Linked DNA regions of Drosophila melanogaster. The protein of the gene in region 1 interacts with the protein of each later gene in a pairwise test. Each region holds a gene or a part of one and is shown in the gene's direction. Other genes may lie near its edges.

Region 1 (6,286 bases):
GTTTTGTGTTTGTTTATAAATGAAATTGCAGTCTGCAAACTGAAACGCTTGACTCAATTTCCGTTTCCGCCCAGCTTCACTGTAAGCCAGCGGAAGCGGCACAAATGCCAGCAAGTGGTTGCTGGATGGCCCAAGGGCTAGCCGGATCCTTTGGAGCCATTGGATCCATTGGATCCCTTTGGTGCCTTTACTCCCCAACGACCTAATTTTCGCTTGACTTCATTTCGGATATGCGTTGCCATTTTGTGACCATTGTGTGCTGGCCATTTTGCGGAGCATAGGCCGTCGGCCTGGTTGTGGATTTTTTTATGCTGATTTATGGGAAAATAATCCCGGCTAACTTAGCGCCTGCAAAATGGTTCTCCTCCGCCAGGATGTTTGCACACTCGAATCTAATTTTCCTGGCCAAACACATACACAATGCTCTGCTCTGTGCAATTTTGGCACAAACGTTGATGAGGATGTCGTCTGATGAGGATGCATGAGGGACCCCCAGGGTTCGGATAATCATTTAATCAGCCATTTGTTTGAATTGCAATCCAAGGGAGACGATAGTAATAGTACTTTCCAAAACCATCGGGTGTGTGCCATCGCGTAATTGAATTTGATTCTTTCACTTGACGAGCCACACCCCTCAGCAAATGCAATTACAATAATTTAATTGCCGTGAAAAATGGCCGCCCGGCTGCGGGGCATTAATTAAATTTTTGCGAAGACAATAGTCAAAACCCAGCCTGCGGCGCATTTAATTCACTTAAATGGCAACCAATGCGGTTTACTTCAATTCGCCGCGTATTTGTTAATTAAAATAAAAATGTAAGAAAGAAAACGCTCCGTCGAAGTGCCGCGGGCCAAGGAGGCGGTAAAAATAAACGAACACGCCATCTGTTTTTCTCCGCCGTGGGAAAAACAAGAAAAGCCTGGAAAATCTCAACTATTTCGGCTCGGCTCCACCTGTTCGGCGTCGAGAATTTAGAAATAGTCGCGCTACCCATAGCACAAATTCGTCGCGCCTTTTACGTGTATCTCGTAGATTTTCCGACTGTTATCGAAATTGTATCTGCTCTAGCAAAAGATTTTCCCCCATCCCGAAATAGATGTCGCTGTGCGATTTGTTTGTTTGGCTTTCCCCCCCGAAATACTCTAATAAAATATTAATTTTTGTGGGGGGGCACGAACTTTGACAGTTCCCAGTCGCCTTGACTGGTCGCCTCTTCACTTTATTGCCCTCTCGTTAATTTTGAAGGCATGTTTTGCTGATGGCTGTCCTCGAACAAAGTGCTTTTCAATAACACAAGGCACATAATTCAAGTTAATTTCCCGCTCATAAAGTAATCGCTGTCCTTTTTACTTTTTAAAGCTTGCAAATTGCTCCGTCTTTTCCTGGAGACATTATTTATATCCATTATCAGATTATAAATACATTGTATGAATATTTCAATAATATTTATAAAAATTTAAAACATTAGTATGATAGTAGTATGATGAAATTATTTCGAATATTCTCTTAATAAACTAATTGGCATGTTCTAAATTGTGAATATTGCAAAGGATGCTCCTCACATTTTGTAAATCTCTGTAAATTCTGAAGGACGTGTCTTTGGAAGATTTGATTATCAAATATATTTGAAATACCAATTAAATCCAATTTGAAAAACATTTTCAGTAAAAATTAATAAGTACATGTCATTTTTGTAAACTTTTTATGCAGAAAGTCCTTTTAACAAGAAATTGCCATGTCGCTGATCTGATCTGATAACTGTGAATAATTGTGAGGATGTCCATGTCATCATAAATTTCGCTGTAAATTCTGGAGGATGTGTCGCTCGATGGGAACCAATTTGCTGCCATTTTTAATTATGACCCAATGCATGCCGATGGAAATTACGGGCAACGAATGCACGCGCCCGAAATGAGTTCAAAATGACAGCAGGACAGCAAGTCCGAAAAAATGCGGCTAACATGCAAATGAGCAGTACTTTGAAGAGCACAATCTACACACACTCGCACACACACACACACACACATACCATCGATTGGAAATGTGTGAAAATAATGAAGCATTTGGATTTTTCCTTTTTCTCAACCGATGATGATCTAAAATTATAACGCACGATTCATACGCGGGAGACGGGCAAAGTCGGCGTTTCGAATATATAGAACGCCCACGCTGCAAAATTTTCACACACTCGACTCCGAATTCGGATATATTTTTGGAAAATTCTTGAACGAATTCGTCGGAGAACGCTCTCTCGCGCTTTAAAAGCCGCATACGCCCCGTTGGCTGGCATCAGTGTTAGCTTGTCAGAGCTTTAGTGAAGATCCCGCAGGACCCGAAACCAAAAACCAAGAATCAAACATGTCTCTTGAGCGTGCCGTTCGTGCCAAGGTGAATACTCAATCAGTGAAGAAAAAAGATCCTTAAGAAAACATAGATATAAAGGAAAATAGATGAAAGAAATGTGAAATTACCAAACAGTTTTGTGAAATATTGTGCCTAAAATATGAATTTTTTCTTATCCGATCCACCTAGATTGCCAGCAAGCGCAATCCCGAGATGGACAAGGAGGCCCAGGAGTGGATCGAGGCCATCATTGCCGAGAAGTTCCCCGCCGGCCAGTCCTACGAGGATGTGCTCAAGGACGGTCAGGTGCTGTGCAAACTGATCAACGTGCTGTCGCCCAATGCCGTGCCCAAGGTCAACTCCTCGGGCGGCCAGTTCAAGTTCATGGAGAACATCAACAACTTCCAGAAGGCCCTGAAGGAGTACGGTGTGCCCGACATCGATGTCTTCCAGACCGTCGATCTGTACGAGAAGAAGGATATTGCCAACGTTACCAACACCATCTTCGCTTTGGGCCGTGCCGTAAGTTTCAAATCGCCTTCTATCCCATTGTCAGCCAGGCTAATCCTTGAATTGCGGCTCATTGCAGACCTACAAGCATGCCGACTTCAAGGGTCCCTTCCTGGGCCCCAAGCCCGCCGATGAGTGCAAGCGCGATTTCACCGAAGAGCAGCTGAAGGCTGGCCAGACCATTGTGGGTCTGCAGGCCGGTTCCAACAAGGGAGCCACCCAGGCTGGCCAGAACCTCGGCGCTGGCCGCAAGATCCTGCTCGGCAAGTAAGCGCCAAAGGATGGCCAGGATGTCCACACCCTTTTCTACACTTATGCTAAGTGAACACACCCATATATATTTTGTATGATGAAAAACATGAAGAACACAATGATATTCCTCACCAAAGCAAAACTCAACACCAATGAACACACACTCACACAAAACAACACATAAAAGCAACGCAAAGGCTTGTCGCCTTATATTAAGTATACGCCTAAGTTAATCTATTTATGAGTACAATAAAGTAATTCAAAGAACCCAGTTTTCCACTTTCCGATCACCTCTATAACCTTGAGCTCTCTACGTTCTTGCTGCTGTTGTTTGTGTGGGTGTACAGACTTTATTTATCTGCCTATGGTGCGTTCTAAAAATGAATTTCATACCTATAGCCATATAGCTGAATATATATATATACTATATATGCATCATCGTATCAACGTTATAAAGCAAACATAAACACACTCTGTTGAGTGTGTGCGATGTGTGAAACATTCCATCGAAGCGTGTCGAGGTCAGAACATCAGCGTTGGGCAGAGTTATTATCAAGATGGGCATCTCGACACTGACTTTTACATATATTTTATATGTAGCGAAAGGAATTTCCCCCAAACTCACCTGTCCGAGGCGTGAAATTGTTCCCACGAAAGAACACACACAACATTATGTATTGCAGGTGCAACTATGCTGGTGCCAAAAATGAAAAAAACCAGACATCTCTCGCGAATATTTCACGCCTTCAGCTGGCACTTTTCTAATTTCTCGATTTATTATAGTTTGTCAGTGGGTGGAATTGATCTCTGTTGGCTTATTATGCTGAAAGCAAAGAGCAGGAATGGAAGAATCTGGAAATATTTTGTATTAATTGTATGTTAGATCTATTGAAAAAATATGTCTTAGAACGCAGAATATATTCAGCATGGATTTGTTATTAGTTTTAAATGACGCAGTCTGCAAATGAAATATTTTCCTCATTCGTTTTGGCTAATTGAAGTGTACTCAGGTCGTGTGTACAATATTTTAGACTCAAATAGTGCTCAGAAAGGATGATTAAGAATAAAGCGTGCCAATTTCCGAATCGGTATATTTAGAATTTTGAAAATTTCCAACAATTGGTTGCTAGAAATATTAATGAGAACAACCAAACGGTATTTCCCCTTGGTTTTGTTGTTTTCTTCAACATATATATATGGATGGAATAAATAAAAGCAGGCAAATAAATAACAAACTTGACACTGAAAATGTGGGGGATATATATATATATATACATATATATTAATAATGGTTCATTAAGAGATTTTCTCTACCGTTTCAGGGTTATTATTGATGCATAAGCTTACGACTAGGAAGTCTTGAATTTTCCATTGTTTATAGCATTAATAAACGACAAATATTATATTATTTTTGTGGAAAAATGTATTTGGTTGAAAAGTGGTAATAGCCCTATTAAATAATCGAGCTCTTTTTTCGAGGTGACATCAAACTTTGCAGCTGATTGGTAAGTGATTTTAGGGTTTCCCGGAGACTCGAGACCATTTTCTCCTTTTCACGAACATAGGCGACAGTTCGATCGTAGTCATACATCAATGCGGGCATAGCCAGGATACCACCCTGGCATGTCAAATCTCTCATCCGGCGCCTAATAGCCTTGTGCTCCAGTTTTCGGCGACACAGCTCGGATTTTAGTTTATTTTTCAACTTGTGCTTTTCCAGCAGGTTATCTTTAAGAACGTGAATTTTGTTCTTAAGCTCGTGGGACTTCTCTCGATTGTGCTTAGTCATATGCAGTTCGGTGTGGTAGAGCCTGCGCTGTCTTTTTAATTCAATATTTCGCTCTGATGGAGATGATTATTATGCATATAATAATGAACAAATTTTAAGCAGAGATGTTCATAGGACTATACCTTCAATCTTCTTTTCTAGGCCGATCGTTTTGTTTTGCACGGAAATAAAGTCATTCAAGCTCACACCGTCGCAAACCGTTTCTACATCTCTTATTTTCTAAATGGAGATGTTTCAGAAAAGTATGTTGATACAAGTAAAACAATCAAATTAGAAAACATATGAAAAATTGGAAAACAATATTGGTGATAGTAAATATAATGAAAAACTACATGGCTGGATAGTGGGAAGCAATGTGTTGTAAAATATTGTGAATAACTTAATAGCATTATGTGACAATTTGAATGAGCATAACCGGCGGATAACATGGTTGCTAACATAGCATATAACATGTCGGATAACATAGCATGTAACATGAGTTGGCAGACAACACGGCGATTAACATATAATGTAATATGACGGATAACATGGCGAATAACATGAAGGACAACACGGCTGATAAAATGGCGGACAACATGGCGGATAATATAGCATGTAACATAGCATATAAAATGGCGAATGACATTACAAAAAATACGGAGGATAACATGGCGGACAACATGGCGGAAAATCTCTCAACAACGCGTTCAACATCGTGGACAACTTTTTGGACAACATCCTGGATACCTACTTCTAAGATGCGGGCCAAGGTGTGTTTCTGCGACATGAGCAACAGCCGGGCATCGCTAATTTGATTCCGATGGTCGGCCATAAGTCGGAGTTCGCGGGCAACCAGGCGCTTGAGGAAATCGGTCTCGGCGTCCGGACGAACCAGGATGCGTTTTAACGTCTGCTCGAGATGATGCTCCGTGCTGAGAACGATGTTCATGGCGTTGGCGAGGTCCAAAAACGCAGTGGTCATTAGAATGCCATATTTCTCCCTTACCCTGATGAGGCGCTCTTGACCATAGGACAGATAGGTCAGGGCGTGATCAAGGCGACGGGAGTAGGTTGACTCGGCGTTCGGCGTTAGGCGGTCAAAGTATCGGAAGTTTTTCGTGCGTCGGAAGTAATCTACCATTCGCTCCTCCAGCTGTTTGTTATGATCCCTTACACTTGTGTAATCATGCACCTCATTCTGCAGAGCGACCAGCAGCTTTTCTTTGTCCAGTCGCACCCGAATATATTCCTCAGTACCCCGATGCTCTGGCATGACTACCTTATGTATCAAATGGTTTATAAATTCAGAAATAACCTGGCTTGTCTCTATAGTCCTCAGTTGGGCTGCCACATCGATTTCGTCCGTTTCAAGGTGTTCCGTTGTTACTGTAAACAACTGTTCAAAGCCCATG
Region 2 (9,617 bases), on another chromosome or scaffold:
GCACATGCGAGATCAGTGTGCAGAAGCCAAAGTAGAGGCCTCCATAGGAACCTTGCAATTCGGCAGTTGTCATTATGCTGAGGATGTCTTAGCTGTGCGAAAATCACTTATCTGCTACGTGAGATGCGCACGTAGAACCGATAAGACGAATCCAAGTATTTGGGCACCATAAACCGAAACCGAAGATCGCGACTGCTCGTGGCGGTTGTTAGAACGCTTTTGAGAGTCTGACGGCATGGAACAGCTGGAAAAAGCCATCGAAAGCTCCGCCAGCGTTATCCGAAAAATCAAACTTTCAAAGCCAGTGGAGCGCGGCGTTTGCAAAAAGTGACTCAGCGGATCGACCCGTTCACGTGTTTTTCACCTTGGGGCGGGAAAGGCGGCAGCGGCCACAGGTGGCAGCGATTGGCATTGCTCTCCAGCTGGACGACATGCGATTATCGGTATTTTTGGAGCAATCTAAAACCGGATTGGATAATTGACCGGCGTTAATCATGGTGAATACACCATGAGTGATTCCCAAAAACAGAGTCAAGGGTGTTGCCATTTCCTAATTAAAGATCAAATTAAGTAATAACAAATCTAACCGAATGTTGAATAATCTCTCTATTTCAAGTTCTGCGTTTAGAATATATATTTACGTAGACTGAACTACGTTAAATTGTGCTTTTTAGGTCCACCCTAAATAGTTGATTTCGATGATCGATGTTGTGAAATTGCTAGCAAAAGCAAATGCGAGACGAATAAACAGCAAAAGGAGAAACAAATAGAAAGATAAGAAGCGAACAATATGATTGGGAATATCCCACAATAACACTTTCCTACAGCGCATTTGTACTAATACAAAATATACGGTTAAATAAATTTTCATACTTATCCGACTACAAAAATAATATCTATTAAATTGGTCATTTTTTTGAGGTAGCGTTATGAGATTTGAAGGAGAGGATTAGCAGAGTTTGAGTAGCTCTACATATGTACCATAGATAGTTCTGTGGATTCATTTCTATTTTCATTTACTTTAGTGATTAACCGAAGAGATAGACATAATCGCGACACATGTCCATGTATGCCTTACTATCTCATATTTATGTATGTAGATGCCAGTTTTTCGGCTCTCCAAACTTAAAATATACCGACTAGGAATTTGGAATAATAAAACATTTTGTTCAGCTTTGCGAACTTTCAATATTATTACGTATACAGTTCACAAAAAAAGGTTCAAGATTCAATTATTCCTGCCTGCATATACATATGATGTATTAGCTTTACAATAGCTTTAAAAAATAGTTTTTTCATAAAAATATTTGTATATTCAGTTAGTTATTATGAGCGTATTTTGCAGGCAGTATACTTTCTGGGTGAAAGCCAAGGAAGATTACTTGTTACAAGCAAATTAATTCACCATACATCACCACAATTTAATTAATCATGAAATTACAGCGTTTTAAAGCTAATTCCTTTCCTAGATTGCAGCGTATTCATATCACCCAATATCACTACTTATAGATTACACGGAACCGAACCGCACGAGAGAAAGAACAAACGGGGAATCACCAAGAGAAACGCAGTTGAGCGAATATCTCTTATATATTGGCATTACTCATCGCTACATTATATACCCGTTTCATTTGCAAGGCAGTGTGAAATACAGCCAAGTGACGTCATCATTCGGCAAATCAAGAGAGCGACATCTAACAAAACAACAACAGCTGACTCAGAGAGAGCAGGAAAGAGTTTTCGATATATATGTACACAACGCCTAGTCAGTTGGTCTCCGTATTTCGATTTAGGAGGCAGTTCCGTTAACACTGCAAATCAACAAGTCCAAATAATATTGCACGCACGTCATTTGCCACACGACAAAAACATAAATATTTGTATTCAATTCATATATTGGGATTTTACGCGAGATCTTCGCAAAAAATCATTTGGGCTTTTCCAAAAACCAGATAATGTACGTAAATTATTTAAAAGGAAAATCTATATTTCAAATCATTGCGAAACACGAAGCGACAGTTATTGGTGACAATTAAAGTGTTAATTATCGAAAAACCCCACACGAAATATGAATAAGTTGTTATAATTTGACTATTGCATGACGATAGTTCTGTGACAAATAACTGAAATATCACTCATGGGCAATCAGTAATACCAACTTTCTGTTCTTCTATACAGTCACGCCTATTTGTTCGCCCTTTATTCGTAATATTCATATAATATATTCATTTCTAAAAATGGTGAAATTCGAAACATTAATTTTTTGCAATTTTTTAGCAGTAAATCCCTATTTCCCATTTATTAGTCCAATTATGATTGAAACTGGCCCGAGTGAATACTCGAATCAATATTTGAAAATATGATGAAAATAGAAACATTCATCTTTGGTGTTTTTGAACAGTAAATTCCCATAAATCCATCCTGTATTGTATTCTTTTGAACAGTATGTTCCCCTAACTTCCTTCTAAAATCAAATTACGAATGATTTTTAAGCTGAAATTGGTCCAAGTGAATACTCACAAATGTAATATTTGTAAATATGATAATTAGAAATAATCATCTTTGATCCCTTTGACCAGTAAATTCCCATAAATTCCTTCTTAAATCAAATTACGAATGATATTTCAGCGGCAACTAGCCCAAGTGAATACTCACGAATGAATATTGATATTGGAGTGCCGGCGTTTTTTGTGGCCATGTTATTATTGTTAAGGTTTTGTTTGCCCAACTCGCGTCATCGATTTCAGTGGGCGCACCACATACACCGCCACACACACACACACACACACACACACCACAACAACACACACTCTGCCAGTTTTATTTACTTATAATTTTTATCAGTTTTTTTTTTTACGACTTGCTCGCCCCACTGGAGCTCGGCTTCGTCTGCCGGGCCTGGGGTTTTAGAGTCGCTCGGTATTATAACAAATCCGTGGGCCATCGAACCGAACCAGTCCCAGCTCGGCTCTGATCCCAGTCGGTCGCAGTCGCTCAGTCGCTAACCAAACTTCCGCCAGCATCGATCCCGCGCATTATAGCCTTATAATATCTGTGCTCTTATTTCCCATCCTTTTTGCCCTCATTTGACCACCAATCCAATCAAAATGCGTCGCGCAGACGCTTTTGCTGTCTCGCTTTGTGTGATTTTGGCCTTGCTGCAGACGATGGAACCGGTAAAAGCCGAGGGGTAAGTCCATATACCACAAATACTATACTATATGATCGGATCGATTTTAAAACACATCTACGGTTAGAGTATTAGTAGAGTCGGGTTAGGAATTCGCAAAAATATAGGCGATAATCAAAGCCAGATATCTAAAACTATAGTTCTTTACAAAGCTGGCCTATAAAACGTATTGTTCTTACTTCGGTTATTCGGTTGATAATTTGAATAAAAACTGATGGCTAAAAATTTTAACCATTTCCCTAATACGCTAGTGGTTGGATTCCCGTCTCACTCGAACACTTAAACACAGATTACTGCAATCCAAACTATATTATCTATGTTTATTACTTATTACCACTATTATATTCACAGTCACTGTATGGCTGTCGTCGAATATTTCAATTAATTAGGTATGCATATATGTATACAGATAGGGCCGTTTTTAATGAACATCAAGGTAATTAAGCTGTTATTTATACGCAAAATCACCTATTAGCTTAATTGTTTATACCATCTGGTTTGTCCTTGGATTTATAGGAGAGTTTTTTTACGGTTTTTACAAATCACTAACCTAATAACATTTTGCTCTACATTTTTCAAATAGTAATTTAACTTTTAGATATATAATTATGTATATAGCAAATGTTAAACATCGTTCCTTATCACACCTATAAGATTAAACACTAGACTTCTGTCCACGTAGTGACGATGAGCACCTAAAAGGGTGAATTTGGGGAAATTCAATAAAATTGAAAATCTGGTACGATAGTCCGATCACAACTATTCACTCACTTCAAAAATATTCAGAATTTCTTTTTTAAAGAGGTTTAGTTACTCCGAACTAATATCTGGTATTTAATTTTTGAGTTGAAGGTGCCATCGCCACTTTAATCTCACCTTGTTGAGGGGTGTTTTATTTTCTTCATTTTTGTTGAGCTCAACTTATGATGCTAATTGAGTTTCACTGTAAGCCATTTTGAATATGGATTTTTATATTTTTTACTCAAACAAGAGGATCACGTCACATACTTTGTTTGCCTCAATGGTTTCGCTGATCAATCTTTCACACGATCTTAAATCTGTACTTTTTCCTGTCCCGCCAATTATTAGTAATTAGAAACGAATATGAAGGTGGGTTATGGAACACACTTAAAAATGTCATAAACTTGAAGTCTAACATAAAAGGCTGGAACAAATCTAATCCAAAAAAGTTAATGATGTTCAGGCTAACAATATTGGTGTACGTGATCGGGGACTGTAAGTGCGAGAAAGATTGCTAATCGCAAAAGCTGGAATTATGTAATCTCTAAGCCGGTTTCATACTTTTCAGTAGAAGATCAGGTTCTGGGAATATTATCCGTTATATATATATATACATATATATTTCATCATTTGCTGTCACAGATCAAAAAAACCATAACTCAAAAACCTAAACCGAATCTTAGACTGCCTTTTAAAGATTGGGAACATTATCAAGTCGAGGTTAATGGTTTTAAGTTTCATTTCTGTGTTTCCCTAGAGATTAGACAATATACATTTATTTTTGAATTCTTAGAGCATGGTCAAGAATTTGATATTGATAATTTGAATATTGATAGCTATAGTTACTATCAAGAAATACAATACTATATATTATACAAATACAATACTACAAATATTTCCAAGTGGATATGTGTATGTTTTTTTCTCTTCTTGGAATTTTTTATGGCCGAATTGTTATTTGATTTTATTTTGTTTTTCATGACAATAATGTTGATGTTTTCTTTGCTTCCAGCAAGTACACCATTGTGGGTCCCGGAACCATCCACTCCCACCGTGACTACAATGTGGCCGTGGCTGTCCATCAGACCAAGGAGCCAGTCACCCTGAAAGTGGGCATCACTGGACCCTCCTACAACAAAACTGAGACCGTGGAACTAGCCACTGCCGGTGAGTTCAAGCAGATCACCTTCAAACTGCCCCCATTGGAGGCGGGTGAATATAATCTGACGGCGGAGGGCGTCAAGGGACTGGAGTTCAAGAACTCCACCAAGCTGAACTGGGAGAATTTCAAGCCATACATTAAAATCCAGACCGATAAGGGAAAGTACAAGCCCGGTGATACTATCAACTATCGTGTGATCTTCCTGGACGAGAACCTGCGGCCGGATACCGCTAAGGATGAAGTGGTGGTTTGGTTTGAGGACTCCAAAAGGAACCGCATCAAGCAGGAGAAACACATAAAGACCACCGGTGGCGTCTACACTGGCAAATTCGAGCTCTCCGAGTTCGCCACATTGGGCTCCTGGTCCCTTCATGTTCAGAATGGAGATCAGCACCACGACGGAGGTATTTACTTTGGGGGTCGTAAACAATTTGGAGGATTTGGTCATCGCTGGCATCGCTCGGATGAGCTCGTCAACTTTGAGGTGGAGAAGTACGTGCTGCCCAAGTACTCCGTCAAAATGGATGCCACGCAGCAGGTTTCAGTGCGAGATGGCGAGTTCAATGTCGTCCTGAAGGCCAAGTAAGTATTACCGGAAGTTTTATGCTTTAGGACATTCTTATATCAGCATTATCCCCCAGCTACACCTATGGTAAGCCCGTGAATGGTAAAGTTCTTGTCAATGTCCATCTGGACTCGACGAGCAGTTGGGAGAATGTGGACGGCAAGACAGTGCAAACGGACTACCCCGGACATTCTGTTGTTGGCACCGCCGACATGGTCGGAGGCAAGGCCAAGTTGACCATGGATCTCAAGGACTTCGCCAGTTATCTGCCGCACAAGACCTCTTCTTCATATGCCCAGATTACGGCTACCGTGGAGGAAGACTTCACCGGCGTGAAGCTCAATGAAACAGGCGGTGTGCAGCTGTACCCCTATCGGTATGAGATGTCCTGCACTGACTACTCCAGTTGCTTCTCCTTCAAGCCCGACAAGGAACATGAACTTAACTTCAAGATTACATATGTCGACGGCTCACTAATTACAGACACCAAGTCTGTTGTGAAGGTGGGTTAGAAATCTTAAGAGATCTGTCACTACTTATAAATTCGTTTTAACTCTAGGCCAAGTTCACTGAAGGAATTCGACGCAATTATGCTTTCTATGCCTTTGGAACAGATCATCAAGAACCGGAATTGCCAACGATTGAGAAGAAAACGTTTGTGTTTGAAAGCCATTTGAATGCGTCTGGTGTGGCGCCTTTCAAGGTGGTTCTTCCCGATTTGCCGGATATCGCCAACTTTACTCGTTACTATAGCATTGAGCTGGAGTTCGTCGATGAAAAACGAGATCTGTACACCACTTATCCCTACAGGGAACCAAAACAGATTGAAAATCCTAGCTCTGAAGAGGAAAAGGAGTGGTTCAGGGCAGAAGTTCAGAGGCCCAAGGACGTCTGGAAGTGAGTACAGTTGAGTTGAGCAAGGGTTCCACGATTTTAAATAACCATATACAATACTTCTATTGCAGCCTCAAGATCGGGCAGGAGTATCAAGTAATCCTCAACTCCAGTCGTCCGCTCAAATACTTTGTGTACAACATTGTGGGACGTGGAAACATATTGGAAACGAAACGTGTGGACCTCGCGGAACCCCAAACGACCGTCAACGTAACCATTAAGCCCACTTTCCTCACTACTCCCTATGGTCGGGTGTACTTCTACTACGTGGATGAGACAGGAGAGTTCCGATATACCGAGGAAACATTCAGTGTGGAGGTCGAGCTGCAGAACCAGATCGAAATCAAGGCTCCCGCGGAAGTTAAACCGGGTGCCGACGTTGCACTGGAGATCAAGACGTCGCCAAAGTCATTCGTTGGATTGTTGGCCGTCGATCAGAGTGTCCTTCTGCTGGGCAGCAACAACGATTTGAACAAGGAATCCTTCAACTGGCGCCTAAATGGCTATGACACCTCAACTCCCTGGCAGGGTGGATACTCCTACTACCCCGGAGAGCGAACTGGAGTCGTGACTATGACCAATGCCTATTTCTTCTATAATCGCACCGCCCCAGACTACAATATTCGTACGTATAAATTTGTCATAATAATAAACCACATTAATTTGCAATTATTGGAAGTTACAGAAGGATTTGGTGGAAGCTCTTTCGCCATGAGAAAGACTACAGTGGCACATGATAGTCATGTATTCCATTCCGGTGCTGGCGGACCAACTCAGGCCGTGGGATTCTCCGCCGAAAGTGCGTCTGCATCTGCAGCACCAGTAGTGCGAAAGAATTTCGCAGAGACCTGGATCTTTGCCGATATCGAGAGCACCGAGGAGGAGGTGTTCAAGTGGGTAAAGACCATACCCGATACGATCACCAACTGGGTGGTCACCGGCTTTTCACTGCATCCCCAGAAGGGATTAGGTGTCACCAATGATCAGACAAATATCAAGACATTCCAGCCGTTCTTTGTCTCCGTTCGATTGCCATACTCCGTGAAGCGAGGTGAGGTGATCAATGTACCGGCACTGGTCTTTAACTACCTGCCCAAGACACTGGACGTGGAACTGACCCTGGACAACGAGGATCAAGAGTATGACTTCGTGGATGCCTCGAATGAGGTTATTGGTGACCAGAAGCGTACGCAGAACATCAGAGTGGGCGCCAACGAAGCGGCAGGAGCCTCATTTTTGATCCGACCCAAGGTCATTGGAAATATTTTGCTGAAATTCAAGGCCATCTCACCGCTGGCCGGAGATGCTATACACAAGCCGCTAAAGGTAGTGCCCGAAGGAATTACCCAGTACCAGAACAGGGCATTCTTTATCAATCTTAAGGATACGGGTGAGTTTAAGAACACCTTCGAGCTGGAAGTGCCGGAGGATGTGGTCCCCGACTCCGAGCGTGTGGAATTCGGATTGGTGGGTGATCTCTTGGGACCAGTGGTCAAGAACCTTGAGAACCTGTTGCGATTGCCCAGCGGTTGCGGTGAGCAGACCATGTCCAAATTGGTGCCCAACTATCTGGTGAGGGATTATCTGAAGAGCATCAAGAAACTCACACCTGCATTGGACACTCGCATCAAGAGGAATCTGCAGGACGGATACCAACATATGTTGCACTATCGCCACGACGACGGCAGCTTCAGTTCCTTTGGGCCCACCAAATGGAGGCAGGAGGATCCAGTGCGCAATGGTTCCACCTGGCTGACGGCCTATGTGCTGCGCTCGTTTAGCAAGATCAAGGATATAATTGACTTGGATGAGCAGATCCTGGCCAAGGGCTACGAATTCCTGTTAACTCGACAGGCAGAAAATGGTAGCTTCACGGAACACGGAGAGTATTTCTATAGCTCCCAGCGATCTCTATTGACATTGACCGCAAATTCCTTGCTCGCCCTGCTGGAGGAGGAGAAACCGAACCAGGCTGCCATTGACAAGGCGGTTGCCTATCTGAGCGCCAATACTGCCGAGTCCATTGAGCTCCTGCCCAAATCCATTGCCATTTATGCCCTGCAAAAGGCCAAGGCGCCGGAAGCTGCCAAGCAGGTGGCCAGTCTTAAGTCCCTGGCCAAACACGAGGACGATCGCACCTGGTGGACCGAGGATCTGGATAAGCTGCGTGCCTCCAAGAACTGCGGACGCTGGTGGTGTTGGATCTGGAGTCAGGATGTGGAGATCACATCATATGCGCTGCTTTCCCTTCTGGATTCAGACCAGGAGACAGCCGACTCTGTTCTGAACACCGTTCGCTGGTTGATCGCCCAGCGTAATGGCTTCGGAGGATTTGCCTCCAGCCAGGACACGGTTGTCGGCCTCACCGCCCTCATTAAGTTCGCTGAGAAGTCGGGCTACGAGGCGGCCAAGTGGGAGGTGACCGTTTCCAACAAGGGAAAGCGTGAAAAGACCGAGAAGCTCAACACATCGGAGGAAAATGACCTGCTCCTCCAGACAGTCGAGTTCCCACAGGGCACCAAGTCGCTGGAGTTTGAAGCCAAGGGAACTGGAGCTGCTATGGTCCAGATAAGCTACCAATACAACTTGGTGGAGAAGGAGCCGAAGCCGAGCTTTAAGATTCAGACCACCGTTTTGCCGGAATCGTCGCCAGCCAATTTGGAACTAAGCGTCTGCGTGGACTACGTGGAGGAGGGCGAGTCCAAGGAATCCAACATGGCCATTCTGGAGGTATCCCTGCCGTCTGGTTATACTGCTGATGAGGATAGCTTCGCCGACATCCGGAACATCGAACGTGTGCGGGTAAGTTTCAGAATCCTTAATACCTGTACACTTTTCTCTTCAATTACCTATAAATTATTCGCTTTGCAGTTGGTGGAAACCAAGAACGGTGACTCCGTGGTGGTCATATACTTCGAGAATCTGGCCAAGAACGAAGAAAAATGCATTCGCATAGAGGCGTACAGAACACATGCGGTGGCCAACCAGAAGCCATCATCGGTGGTCCTCTACGATTACTATGACACGAACAAGAAGGCCACCGAATACTACTCCATCAAGTCGAA
Region 3 (5,227 bases), on another chromosome or scaffold:
AATAGATCTATGGAATAAAAGTGGAAAAACTGAACTCAACTTGCATTGCACTTGAAGCGGAAACAAGTTGGTGTAGCTTAAATAAAACTACACATCGGTTGTCAATTTTAAAATTCGTCTATTTAACGCTAGGAGAAATGATTACTTTGCACTCCAAGTATCTTAAGTATCGCGTATAGCAAACTGGAGCGTGAAATTGCTAACTAGGAATAGCTGGGTTTGTTCTCTAAGCTTACAAGCTACACGCCCAACTGGCAATCAAATATCTTAGCACAAACTACTTAAAACCACAGCGAGTCATTATATTAATCTTTGGTATATCGTGTGTCACAAACAACACGGACACACACACGAAAACTAACAAACGAATCTCCATAGATGATGATAGTTTTGGCTACAATTTAAGTAAAATTTATTTGGTACTCCAAACGTTTGCAATTGAAGCACCCAGCTATTCCAAACACACACAAAAACGCATTGATCTTCGCCAGGAATGCGGGGACAGGGTCGTTCGTTGAGGAACTCACAGCAGTTTTGGCAGGCTGAAAACCGTGTAGGCGAGATCTAGAATTGCTCGGCCATCAGGAGGACAACGGTGGCCGTCCAGCCGGTGAACGGATTGCAGCCCTTGCCCTCGCCGCTGGTGTCATCGTACTGCTCCCACAAGTAGCCGCTGCGCTTGTACTGCCGCAGGATGTTGCCCACCAGATTGTCGCGCAGTTCGGCGTAAATTTGTCGCGCCAACGCCGCATTCGGTCCATCGATCTTGCCATAGTGATGCAGCGCCTTGGCCGCCAAATAGTTGATATTAATCCAGATGGGTCCACGCCAATACGGCGGATCGTGTTCCGTATTGCGTTGCATATACAATGGCGATCTCTTCGAAAGCGAACGCAGACCGTAGTTGGTCCACAACTGTTCCGGATCACGCAGATCGTTTAGCAACTTGGTCAGATACGGCGAATCGTGATCCAGTTGCTCGAGCAGCAACGGAAACAGGCTAACATAGCCAAAGGCGCTGTCCACGAACTGATAGGTCGGCAACTCGCCGGTCACACGTTGCATCTCGGGCAGCTGGTAGTGCTGGTGATGATGCCGCTGCTGCTGCTGCGGCGCCATGGACGGCGGACGCTTCAGCTTCACCTGGTCCGTGTGCAGGCCCCAGTCGGCGTACTGTTCGCTGTACGGCGCCAAATGGAGGCGATTCAGACGCACATTGTCCGTTAAGTACGATGCCGTCTCGTAGTACTTGGCATCGTCCTTGCCCAGCAGCGTGGACAGTTCGGCCATCACACCGGCGGCCAGGGCAATCCAGCAGCGCAGGTCCAGGTGACGCTCCTTGTCCGTGGGATGCGAGGCGCGCGGATAATCGTCCAGGCCGGAGGACAGACTCTTGGGGTTCAATTCGCGCGTGGTGGTCGCGTTCCTGCCGCGCCACAAATATGTGCCCAACACTTCACCTAGAATGGAGCAGTTAGTTAGTAGACGCCACATAGAAAGCGATGGCAGGTGGCTAAGTGACTTACCCCTCTGCGTGGTGTTGAACCAATTGAACCAGGCCTGGACACGCGGATAGAGCCGCTCCAGCGTGGCCAATCTGCCGTTTTGCGACAACTCCGCCCGGTGGCTGGTCAGCAGTTTCTTGAGCGTAAGAAAGAACGTCGGCGGATTGGCGTTGCTATTCCGTTGCGTGACAAACTCCTCGGGCACCTTGGCCAGCGCCTCAACGCCCAGGATTTGCTCCCTGGGTATCCAGCCCTCCACGTTGAGCAAATCGAACCAATGGCATATGATATCCAGCTCGATATCGATGTCCCACGCACTGATCAACAGGCCGTGGAAGCCCTCGTCCCAAAGGAAGCCCCTGGGAAAGAAGCTACGCGACGGCACGGCCGTGTACAGTGGAGCCTTCCAGTAGGGCACCGGATTCTTTGTGTACACCGATTGCACGCGACTGGAGCCATAGAAGTAACCAATGCCGCCAAGCAGATTGCTCAATGCGTTGCGCGCAAATCGCACCTCCTCCGGCGAGTGACCCTTCTGCTTCAGCTGGAAACGATCCTCGAAACGCTGCTCAAATTGTGCTATTTTCGCCTGAAGCGAATCCTGATAGGCTCGTCCCGTCGGCGGCTTGGGTATCGACTCGCCAAGCGAAAAGCCCGACGTCGACTGGTACGTAATGTCCAGCGTGAAGTCCACCTCCGCCGTTATCTGTATGGCTATGAAATTGGGCTCCGGATTGGAGGATGGCAGGCCATTCTGCGAGACTATCTCGCCGGGCAGGCCGATGAAGCGATTGCCACGCTTGTCGGCGAAGGCGCGGAAGTGCGAGAAGAGCGTATCCTTGAGCTTGGCCAGCGACGGTGCCACCGTGCTGAGATAGGATTTATGCAGTATCTTGCCCTTGACGGCATGGAAACGCACTTGGAACTCGCCCAGGCCCTGCGCCTCACCATAGACGCCCGGCTCCGGACTCTTGTCGTCCGACACGTACTTAATGTGTCCATTGGTGCGCTCATCCAATGCCACATACCAGATTAGCGAGATGCTCTTGTCCCACGCCCTTGTCGTATTCCTCACCGATATCCTGGCAGTCCAATCGCCGCCGTACTGCTTGCCCTCTGGATACTTAACGAACGAGGTCTTCAGCTCGAAGGGCAGATCCTGGATCTCTTGAACGCCAAAACTGCGGCCATCGTGATGCGTCCAGCCGTACGAGTCCAGTTTATCGCCCTGCTCGCACCAGTGTCGAATGCCCTGGCCACCGGGGCCCAGATTACTGGGCGTATACCACATCAGGCCCATGACCAGCGAGTGCGGATCCCTGGTCTTCATGCCGAAGTACGTCAACGGACGGTAGGAGCCCCAGTAGCGATCCGGTTGCTCCAGGCCGGCATGCACCACCATCTTCTGGTGATCGAAGGGCGTGTTAACGCGCGTCTCCAGGTAGCCCAGATAGCCGAAGTACGAGGCTATCGCCAGGCAAACGCAACCAATCATCGTTTTCCATTTGTCCAGGATCAAATTCGAGGATAAACTGAAACGCGGGCTGCGCTGCTTCTGTTTGGCATTGGATGCCGCTGCTGCTGCCGCTGCCGCCGCCGCTGCTGCTGCTGCGCTCGATCCGGATGAGGATGCAGCGGGCGTGGAGCCCGAGGAGCTGCCCGTGTTCCTAGCCATTTTGCGCTTGTCCCTTGGCTCTGATTTATCGGCTATTTGTTGTTGCTTCAATTTTCTTGCGAGCGCATTGTTTTCTTTTTTATTTCGATCCGCACTGCGTTGCCGGATCATCCCAACTATTTTCTATGCGGAATTACAAGGGTTTGTGTCCTAGCTATACTATGCTATATTTGAAAACCATAAAATTAATCATTTCCAAAATTTCTTCTCCAAATTTTGTAACAAATCATTTTTCCGTCACATTTCTCGATCGTCAGAAATAAAATCGGAGCTTATGCGTCGCTTGCAATTATTTTAAATTCTTAGTAAACTTTCTTGGAAAATGCTTAAATATTTGGCTGGAATTTTCGTCAGTCCGCGCAATGACTACGCGAATGGTCGCTACAGGATTCCGCATCCGAAGAAGCTGGCCGCCAGGCGAAAGTCGCCCCCGGTGAATATATCCACGAGGAGCGTCATCAATGGCGGCAGGTCGGCAAACGGGAGGCTCAAGACGGAAAATAGAAACGCACGGCGACGTCGAGAGGGCAATCCACATCTGACGCGACCACACAGCCGATCCTCCCAGAAAACCATAGGGATCCGCCTGGATCCCATTAGCTACATCGTAAATGTGCCCAATTCCACTTCATCGCCCGACGACGACGAGGAGGAGGTGCCTGTACCGCAATTGCCCAACGCAGTAAACAAACTGAAGGCTCGAACGTATCGGAAGGAGAATTCCGATTGCCTTATTCCACCGCCAGTTAGTCGCGTCGCGAGTTGGTCGGGTCCTTTGAATGCCAGTCCCTTCAACCAGCTGGATGAGCAGAATTCCATCTCTGACGATGCGGACGCAATGGGCTGGAAAGCGATTTGTTTGCCAGATGATTTTTGGTCGGAGGATTCGGACTCGGAAAGCAAAAGCAAAATGAGTAAAATCAATGTCTTTTAATATACAAAAAATTTATTTTAAATATTATAATAGTTGACCATTCAATAAGATCTTATTATGCTTTTAATAAGTACGAAATTTTACAAATTAATGTAAAGAAATTGTATACTTAATAAATAGCAATAGACTGCAAGCTGAGCAGTTTTTCTGAAACATATTTTGAAATAAAAAGATTTTGTGACGTAATAAGGACATTAAAAAGCGCCACCTTACAAGCAACATTCATGAAAAACGGCGCTGCCAGATGGACCGAGGCGTTACGTGGGAATTAGTACATTTTGGCACTGTACATGTGCATTCAATATTTTGATTTCACTATTATTGCTGCAAATAAACACAGAAAACTGAAAGCATAATGAACGTCAGCGCCGATTTTAAGCCGGTGCCCACGCGTGCAGCGTTGGCGCTGCAAAAGAAGCAGGAGAACACCGAATTTCAGGCACACGTCTTCCACGAATCGCACTTCCAATCGAAAAGTGGAACAAAAAAGCAGGACGACGGCGTCCAAAAATCGCACAAAACCAAGGAGGGCGGCATGGAACTGAATCCCGAATTCGATATCAAGAAGGCGCGCCACGAGGTGCTCAATTTTGCGATCAAAAACCAGCGTGTGATCAAAAACAAGAGCAAAATGGAAATGTTTCAGCTGATCAAGCTGGGCGCCAAGCCGCTGAAGAAGGCCTCCAAAAACTACAAGGAGCTGAAGGACGAACGCCAGCGGCTGAAGAATATTCGCGAGGAGCGCAAGAAGTTCCATCAGTTGGGCAAAAATCAAACGGGCGCCGCCAGCGTCAAATGCCGAACAAAATCGCAAAAGGAGCGCAACGACAAGAGGCGCGCGCCCGTTTCACACATCGATCAGCACTACGGCAAGGCGCAGCCCAAGTTTAAGACGAGAAAATAGTTGTTTATATAGCTCTTAGTTAAATACTAAAACTAGCTTAGTCAAAGGATGGCACTGTTTAAAAATCAATTTATCTATTCTAGCCCTAACGTCAGGCTTAAATTATATAATATATAACTATACCAGCACTGCCAGCATCTTTAACTGTGTAAATAATAATTTAAACATTTAAACCAATTTAAAATATGACCACTTTTATTTTATGCATA

What was found.
Region 2: the proteins of Mp20 (region 1) and Tep4 interact in a two-hybrid assay, tested with the Drosophila melanogaster proteins (one large-scale study listed by BioGRID).
Region 3: the proteins of Mp20 (region 1) and CG11756 interact in a two-hybrid assay, tested with the Drosophila melanogaster proteins (one large-scale study listed by BioGRID).

The regions. Positions count from the first base shown.
Region 1 is NT_033778.4:13,244,384-13,250,669, forward strand, and holds Mp20 (muscle protein 20), read left to right. Parts: upstream 1-2,286; 5' UTR 2,287-2,359; coding exon 2,360-2,389; intron 2,390-2,533; coding exon 2,534-2,866; intron 2,867-2,933; coding exon 2,934-3,121; coding exon of another isoform or gene 3,122-3,125; exon of another isoform or gene 3,126-3,376; intron 3,377-4,428; coding exon 4,429-4,447; 3' UTR 4,448-4,497; downstream 4,498-6,286. Other genes in the region: CG4712 (uncharacterized protein), read right to left, coding at 4,560-4,948, 5,018-5,114, 5,626-6,286.
Region 2 is NT_033779.5:19,546,739-19,556,355, forward strand, and holds the start of Tep4 (Thioester-containing protein 4), read left to right. Parts: upstream 1-2,954; 5' UTR 2,955-3,107; coding exon 3,108-3,190; intron 3,191-4,943; coding exon 4,944-5,675; intron 5,676-5,734; coding exon 5,735-6,161; intron 6,162-6,217; coding exon 6,218-6,555; intron 6,556-6,623; coding exon 6,624-7,177; intron 7,178-7,231; coding exon 7,232-9,354; intron 9,355-9,423; coding exon 9,424-9,617. Other genes in the region: CG10337 (uncharacterized protein), read right to left, coding at 1-73.
Region 3 is NC_004354.4:11,344,703-11,349,929, forward strand, and holds CG11756 (uncharacterized protein), read left to right. Parts: upstream 1-3,417; 5' UTR 3,418-3,502; coding exon 3,503-4,114; 3' UTR 4,115-4,163; downstream 4,164-5,227. Other genes in the region: GCS1 (glucosidase 1), read right to left, coding at 565-1,460, 1,527-3,180; CG1738 (uncharacterized protein), read left to right, coding at 4,470-5,018.